2 linked regions of the Coturnix japonica genome follow. Each later gene encodes a partner of the first gene's protein in a complex. Links are inferred from orthologs where the notes say so. Each region holds a gene or a part of one and is shown in the gene's direction. Other genes may lie near its edges. The genes, in order: GRM5 and HOMER1.

Region 1 (3,818 bases):
CCCATCTCTCTTTCCTTTTTTTCCCTTTATTCCTTCCTGGGGTTGTGGGCCCCTGGGTCCCTCTGCCTCACTAATCACAGAACTAGGCCTAACCAGTCCATAAATCATTGACAGACGGGTACAAAGAATGACTTGTTAACCTATACAGAAACTGAAAAAAAAACCACCAAATGTCCTTAGAAGGGGCTGAACATTTTTAATTCAGCTTTGATTCTAATTTATTGTTATCAGTTTGATTTGGTCAACTATATGAGGGATTAATTCCTCAAACATCTTCAAAGCACAAATGACAGATAAGGAAACGAGCACTGTGGGGCATGCCCAAACTATGTATATCTGCATCTTTAATCCCAGAAAAATCCTTCTGGATAAAAATTTATTCTCTATGAGAAAGAAGTACTCTTTTTCTTGATGGCTAGAATATCTGCATAGTCATTAATTAAGTACTAATATACTTAGTGTATGTTACCATATCATTGATATCTGCTCCTCAAAGGGCATGTGCTATACAGACAACTTTTGAGCATTTCACATCAAAGCAATGCAACTTGATAATGAAATTTGTCCTTAAATTACTAAATATATATATATATATATATATATTCTGCTGTGATGAGAGGTGACTTCTTAATTTGTTTGGACATGTTTTCAGTCATAGTGTTAGATTGTTAGACTCCAAGCAGATAAAGTGTGTTACTGAATTAAGCTGTCACTGAAAAATATTTAGTATGCCATTATATCAACATAATACTAGCTTACACTGATGGTAACAGCAACTTCATGAAAGAGAAAATAAGAGAAAAATTGGGGCAATCTATAACATTGTCATTAAACAATCTAATTCCTACATGCTTCAATTTACTTTTTGTTGTTGTTGTTCCCTGTAGGTTGTGACCTCATCCCGGTCCAGTATCTCAGATGGGGTGATCCTGAACCAATTGCAGCGGTTGTTTTTGCGTGCCTGGGTCTGCTGGCAACCTTGTTTGTTACAGCTATATTCATAATGTACCGTGATACTCCAGTGGTCAAATCTTCCAGCCGAGAACTTTGCTACATCATTCTAGCTGGCATCTGCTTGGGTTATTTGTGCACCTTCTGTCTCATCGCAAAACCTCAACAGATTTACTGCTATCTTCAACGAATTGGCATCGGTCTCTCCCCAGCTATGAGTTATTCTGCTCTAGTAACTAAAACCAACCGCATTGCAAGAATCCTGGCTGGAAGCAAGAAGAAAATTTGTACAAAGAAACCCAGATTCATGAGTGCCTGTGCCCAACTTGTTATTGCATTTATCTTGATATGTATACAATTAGGCATAATTGTTGCCCTCTTTATAATGGAGCCACCCGATATAATGCATGATTACCCAAGCATCCGAGAGGTCTACTTGATTTGTAACACCACCAACTTGGGTGTTGTAACCCCCCTTGGATACAATGGATTATTAATTTTGAGTTGCACCTTTTATGCATTTAAGACAAGAAATGTCCCAGCTAATTTCAATGAAGCAAAGTATATTGCCTTTACAATGTATACCACCTGCATCATATGGCTGGCTTTTGTGCCAATATATTTTGGAAGCAACTACAAGATAATCACCATGTGTTTCTCAGTGAGTCTGAGTGCCACGGTGGCCCTTGGTTGTATGTTTGTGCCCAAGGTCTACATCATCCTTGCTAAGCCTGAAAGGAACGTACGCAGCGCATTCACCACATCGACTGTGGTCCGCATGCATGTAGGGGATGGAAAGTCATCTTCGGCTGCAAGCCGCTCAAGCAGCCTGGTGAACCTGTGGAAAAGAAGGGGATCATCTGGTGAAACACTTAGGTAAAGTCTGCTAATGTGTGAGTGTGGGGAAGTTATTATGTTTTTCTGAGGGTTAAGTAATAATGCTAATAATGAATGGACAGAGGGATATATATGAATTCCCTTTGCCTCTCCACTGGGAGAGGAAAAGTCCACTTTCCCACATCTATAACAGCTACAGGTCTGATTTAGTCAAAATGTTGTGCAAAAGCAGGTCACAGAGCAATGGACAAACAATCACAGAGATGGAAGCATTGGCTGTGTCAACTGTACACTTCTTGCAAGAAGGGAAGTAAGATCTTAGGAGGGAGAAAAAAAGAACAAGAAATATTACTAATTGCCTTGTCCTTAATGCACTCATTTGCAAGCTCTTTTACTTGAATGAATTGCACAGTCACTGTATTTTTTCTCTAGCCACAGCAGGAAGACAACAGAGTGGCTGTTAATGCTACACAATCAAGGTGGAGTAGCCAACACAAGTGGCATCATGAGTGGCCACTCAGGCATCTGATGATTTGTCTCATGTGACTCTTCTGTTATGCCTTTCCTCTTCTATTACTTGATTTTCCTTTCTTCTGTTGTCTCTCCCTGACTTCTTTCTCTTTGTCCTTACCTATCTTCTCTTCTTTACCTATCTTGATATCTTTTTCTATATTCATCTTCCTAACTCCATCAAAGTTAATTGCTCACTGGCCCCACTTTTGCTACTTACTCTTCCTGCCATCAACCAGATACCCTCTTGTCAGCTATTTCTTTGTTTCTTCCCACAAAAACACCTGAATTCAGTGATCATGATGACAGCTTGTATGTGCATTATATAAAAACTACAGTCAGTGAACACCAGGGGAAAAGGAGAACTCTAAAGCAGAAATACAGTCTGGACTCATAGACTGTGCAGGAGTGCATCCAAGCCAGTGATTCTTTTGATCTCTTACCCTTTTGATATAGGGGTGATGAGGGTGATTTGGGGTTATTTAATTGTTAGCATAAACATGAAATTCTGCCTATATGAATGCAGAAATATTGCAGAAATCTTATCATTCCTCAGCTCTATGCGCCTCGCCCAGAAGTGACAGATAGCTGTATTTTCCTCCTTGCTGAAACACATGGGTTTTATGATTGATAATATGAATACTTCTTGACACGTCATTGTTCACAGTGAAGTTTGCATGGAACATGGGCAATTTGTAGTTCATTTTCTCTGTGACCCACTGTTTTGATTCAAGGGAGAATATTAGTATTATTACCCAGAGGACAGTTTTTGTCAAAATGATTATTGATTTCTGCCAGATTATTACTCATGATTCTCTTTCAGTGATTTTTAATTGACACAGAAAATGATGGGTTTTTACAAGGTATCTTATACTTACTATCTATAAACAGCATTATCTTTCATTTCATTTCAAGATGAAAGTTAGGATGCTGTTTCAAAATGGTAGATCCTGTATCAGCTTATTTGATGGTTACCTGAAATGTACCTCTGTACAGACTCTGTAAGCTTGTGTGACATGAGATGTTGAAGCTAGGAGCCCTGAAACCACTTCTGGGCTGGTAAAAGAGGTATTCTTGATAGTGTCCTCAACAGGATGATATTCTTCCTCTTTGAGTTCATTCTTATCTATCCTCATTTTCATTTCAGTACTCATGTGCCATCTCACAACTTTTTTCCTGGCAAGAAAAAATTACAGATAACAGAAAGATCTTGGGCTTGGAAAGGGTTTGTTTGTCATGTGTTAAGGCTCAGTTTTAAAAAAGAGTACAGAGTGTCTTAAAGACAAAATATATTTTCTTCTTTTGGAGGACTTAGTTTCCATTTCTTTATGCCTCAATGCGTAGAATACGCCTGCAGTATAGATTTATTAGTAAAACACAATAGGTTGTTGATAGTAACAGTAGCATTGAAAATAGCATTGAGAGCATCAGATGCATTTGTGTAAGAATGGAGAAAGCAGCACAGAGCTGATATATTGGCATATTTACCTATATGTAAAAAAGTAGAGCATTTTATCTGA
Region 2 (3,873 bases), on another chromosome or scaffold:
CGGAGGCAGAGGTGTGAGGCGGAGGCGGGGATGCGGGCGGCCGCAGGCAGCGGCTCGCAGCAGCCGGGCACCGCCTGACGCGCTGCTCGCTCCCCCCGCGTCCCCCGCCCGCTCCCTCCGTCCCTCCTTTCCTCCACCCGGTCCCACCCCGCTGCCGGCTCTGAGCCCGCGGCCCCGCCGCAGCGCACCCTCGGCCGGGCGGCGGCCGCCCGTCCCGCCCCCCGCCCGCTGGCAGCGCCCGTCCCGCCGCGCCCCGGCGCGATGCCCGCCCGCTGTCCGCAGCAGAAGGCGTGACGGCCAGGCGCGGACCCGCCGCGGGAAGGAGGAGCGGCGCCCCGCGTCTCCGCAGCCGGGGGCGGGCGGGCGGATCGCGGCGACCCGGTGCCCGCCGCCTGCAGCCCGATGCCCGATGCCGGTGCCGCGGCTCGCTCTGCCGCCTCGGGGAGATGCACGGCTGCCCGCCGCGCTGCTAGGGGGAGCGGCGGCGCGGAGCCCTGAGCGCACCGCCCGCCCCGTCCCGCTCCGCCTCTGAGGCGCCGCGCCGAGCGCTCGGTGGCCGCGCACCGCCCGGCGACAAGCGCCGCAGCCGCCGCCAGCCCCGCGCGGAGAAAGGGGAGCGCCTCCCTCTCTCGGGCCCTCCTTCTCTCCCTGCCTCCTCCCACCCGCGGTTGGGGATCCGTCCGCACGCCGAGCCGCCGCCACACGCCCGCTCGGGGGCCGGAGCCGCTGCCTGCGGACGCCCGGCGGGGCCGGCGGCCATGCGAGCCCGGCCCGCGGGGGGCGCTCCGTAGGGTGCGGGCGGCTCGGCTCGGCTCGGCCGCTGCCAGCCGGCGGCGCGACCCGCGGGCCTGCGCGGAGTGGCGCGGGAAGCCCGGCGGAGCTTCCCCACCGCCGCCACGGGGCTGCGGAGCTGCCGGCGCGGCGAGGCGCGGCGCGGCGAGGAGCGCCCCGGGGACGCGGCCCGCGCGGTACCGCCGGTGCCCGGCGCCGCCGGCCGCCATGGGGTAAGCACCTCTAAGCACCTCGCGGGGCCGCCGGGCTGCGGCGGGGCGGGGTGGGGTGGGGTGGGGGCGGGAGCAGCGGGGAGCAGCGGGGAGCGGGTGCCGCTGCCATCGGCGCTGAGCACGGATGCGGGGCTCTGCCCGCCGTAGCGCCGAGTGTCGGATCCGTGTCGACTGCCCGCCGGGTCCCTGCCCTGCCCGGTCGGGCCCGAGAGCGGTCGGCTCGGGCTCGGTGTGGGGAGAGAGCTGCAGCGCGGCCGGGGCTGGTTGTCCTGGAGCCTTCGGGGGATATCGGGCGTGTAAGGTGCCCACATGTGAAGGAGGCTTTAAAGAGATCCGCTTCACAGCGCGTCCCCCGAACGCGTGGGGACATACGCCCGAAATTTTAAGGAGATGGGAAGGAATTAAATCTTCAAAATGAAGCTAGCTGCATCAGGTCTAGGAGACATAAAAGTGGCATAGATACCTGTGGAAACTTTCCACGTTTGCAATCTCGCCTTTGTACGGAGAGATGATGAAATAACGCTTACTGCTGTGCTTGCCTGGTAACCTCCGGATGGAGTGGAAACTCGTCCATGTTCCAAAGCAGCAGAAGCACAACGTGATTTGGATAACCGCAATGTAGAGGCAGGCTTTTAATGCATCAACAAGACTCTGGTTTTCTGAGACCGCTGTATGTAGCTCAGTGTGTAAGAGTTGCAACTCGAGTCGTTTGGTTTTGGGTCATTCAGGAATTTGGGTGTAAATTAGCATAGTGCAGTAACGTGGAGCTGCAGGTGCATCGCTCCTCCAGCTGTCAAAGGCACATGGAACTCTCCAATGTACGAACCTGCCTGTGGTGGCGGTGGCAGCTGTTCCCCAGCACTCCGAGTCAGCGGGGCACGCTCACTGTGCAAGGTGTAGAAAGGAACGTCTTGCTAGTCTTCAGCTTTTATTTTCCATTAAATATATATACATGTATATATGTACAGAATAATCCCAAGCTTGCAGTTGTCTGCATCTTCAGGGAAGTGGTCATATCTTCTGGCTAAAGGCTGAATGGTAGTACAACATTTGGGGGCTTTATCCTTAAAGCTGCTGGACAGGCACAGAATTTTTCACCTTTTAAAATTCGAATGATGGGAAAAGATAACATTTATTTAAAATCAATGTTATTTGCAGGCATGCTGTTTAGGTGTAGCTTGCTGCAAATGCTGAAAAACATTGAGTAATAAGCATTGTTGCATTGTTTTTTCTCTAACAGAGCTTTCTGAAGACAAATGTCTGATTTGGAAAAAAAAATATATATATATATATAAAAAGATTGAGAGCCCCCTCCATTTAATAAACTTAGTGCTGCTGGTGCATGAGTGCTGCAGTTTCTCAATGAACAAACTGGTATCTGTAGAGAGTGGTGAAAAGGCTGAATACTGAAGAACTATGCAAAAAAAAATATTTGGAGAAATAATGCAGGGATGTTTTTGTGATGACTTCAGGGTGATATCCTGGCACACTGAGGTCAAGATGGCAAAAGTTGTTGGCTTGTGTTTTGAAGAGCCTTCAGACGATGCACGTTGAGGTATGGCAACTGAGTTCCTTTGCAGACAGTCTCTTAGCAAGATGGAGATAACCAGAAATCTGAGCGTGTGTTATTGGTGGCCCCCCCTGCCATGCAAGTCTGGGGGAGCACATCTAAGCCTGTGCCAACCCTCTAGACCTGCAGTTATGTACTGGGCATTTGCTGATGTTCAGAGTCTTCTTTCAAAAGCTGTTTTGAATTAGCATCTAAATGCAGTTCCCTATGGATTTTGGGCTATTTTGAGACCAACGTGTACTAGAATCTTAACACTGCAGTTATAAAAATAGTCTTCTGATACTCTGTTAAGGTCTTAAAATCAAGCCCGTTAGAAGCAGGTTGGAAAATGACTGATAATCATGCGTTCATCCATGTGAGGACTGCTTCAAAAGTAATGCCTTCAATTTTATTCTGCTGGATCACGGCATCAAGGGCACGTGTCAGTGGTATGGCAGGAAAGCTTGAACTGTCCCCCTAATAATCCATTCCATGTTGTTGCTGTGCCAGATGGCAGTAGAGGGGCGGTCTGACAAAATGGCGTCTGACATGGAAGTGTGAATGAAGTGAAGGTGTGGCATTAAATTCCCCCATGTGGAAAAGGTAGCACCCACTGACATTCACAGACACTTGCTGGAAGTTTGTGAAGAGCAACCTGTGGATGTGAGCAGAGTGAGGCAGTGGGAGGTGTGTTTCAGCAGTGGCAGTAGTGGTGTGAAAGACAAATCGTGCTGGGGACAGCTCTGCACAGCTGTCAGACCACGAAATGAAGAGCATCTTGATCTGCTGCTCCGTGCAGGTTGGCTAATGGTAGCGACTGTGCTGAAAAAGTGCATTTTATAGAGAAAATGTTCTCTATCAAATGGAGTTCTTGTGCTCTTTCTATCTGTTGAGGTCCCCATGGAAATAAATAGAATGCATTACTTTCGGAACAATCTTTGTATATTCGGTTGCTATCATGCATGAGTTCATATGGTGGATCTGTAGTATCTGGATGGTGGAGAGTTTGCTTTTATCCATGGTCTGGGCAAAGAAAAAAATGGAACTGGGTAGAAATAATAGCTTAGCTAATCAGCAATGGCTGTCTTACTTTATGGGTTATTATAAAGAATTCCCTGTTCTGCCAGTATAACTGACCCTGCTTGGCTGGTTGAGTACCATCTGACAAATGAAGCAGCTGAGTGGTGCATACCTAGCTGTACATTGCTGGTCTCTGAAGTTGTACTGCAGTGAAATACTTGAAGCTGCAGTGAGAAACTTGAAGCTTGAGAACAGCTTATCGGGTTCCTTGTACTTCATCCCTGATGTATGTGTGTGTAT

What was found.
Region 2: the proteins of GRM5 (region 1) and HOMER1 are in contact, whole or in part, in a crystal structure (PDB 1DDV), measured with the Rattus norvegicus proteins. The link is inferred for Coturnix japonica from reciprocal best matches to the Homo sapiens genes GRM5 and HOMER1. Residues at the interface, in XP_006229721.1 of Rattus norvegicus: Thr1155, Pro1156, Pro1157, Phe1160; in NP_113895.1 of Rattus norvegicus: His12, Phe14, Trp24, Thr70, Ser71, Gln72, Lys73, Phe74, Gly89, Phe90.

What each region holds. Positions count from the first base shown.
Region 1 is NC_029516.1:168,275,456-168,279,273, forward strand, and holds part of GRM5 (metabotropic glutamate receptor 5), read left to right. Parts: intron 1-887; coding exon 888-1,827; intron 1,828-3,818. UniProt on the Homo sapiens protein: G-protein coupled receptor for glutamate. Ligand binding causes a conformation change that triggers signaling via guanine nucleotide-binding proteins (G proteins) and modulates the activity of down-stream effectors.
Region 2 is NC_029547.1:12,910,455-12,914,327, reverse strand, and holds the start of HOMER1 (homer protein homolog 1), read left to right. Parts: upstream 1-940; 5' UTR 941-999; coding exon 1,000-1,004; intron 1,005-3,873. UniProt on the Homo sapiens protein: Postsynaptic density scaffolding protein. Binds and cross-links cytoplasmic regions of GRM1, GRM5, ITPR1, DNM3, RYR1, RYR2, SHANK1 and SHANK3.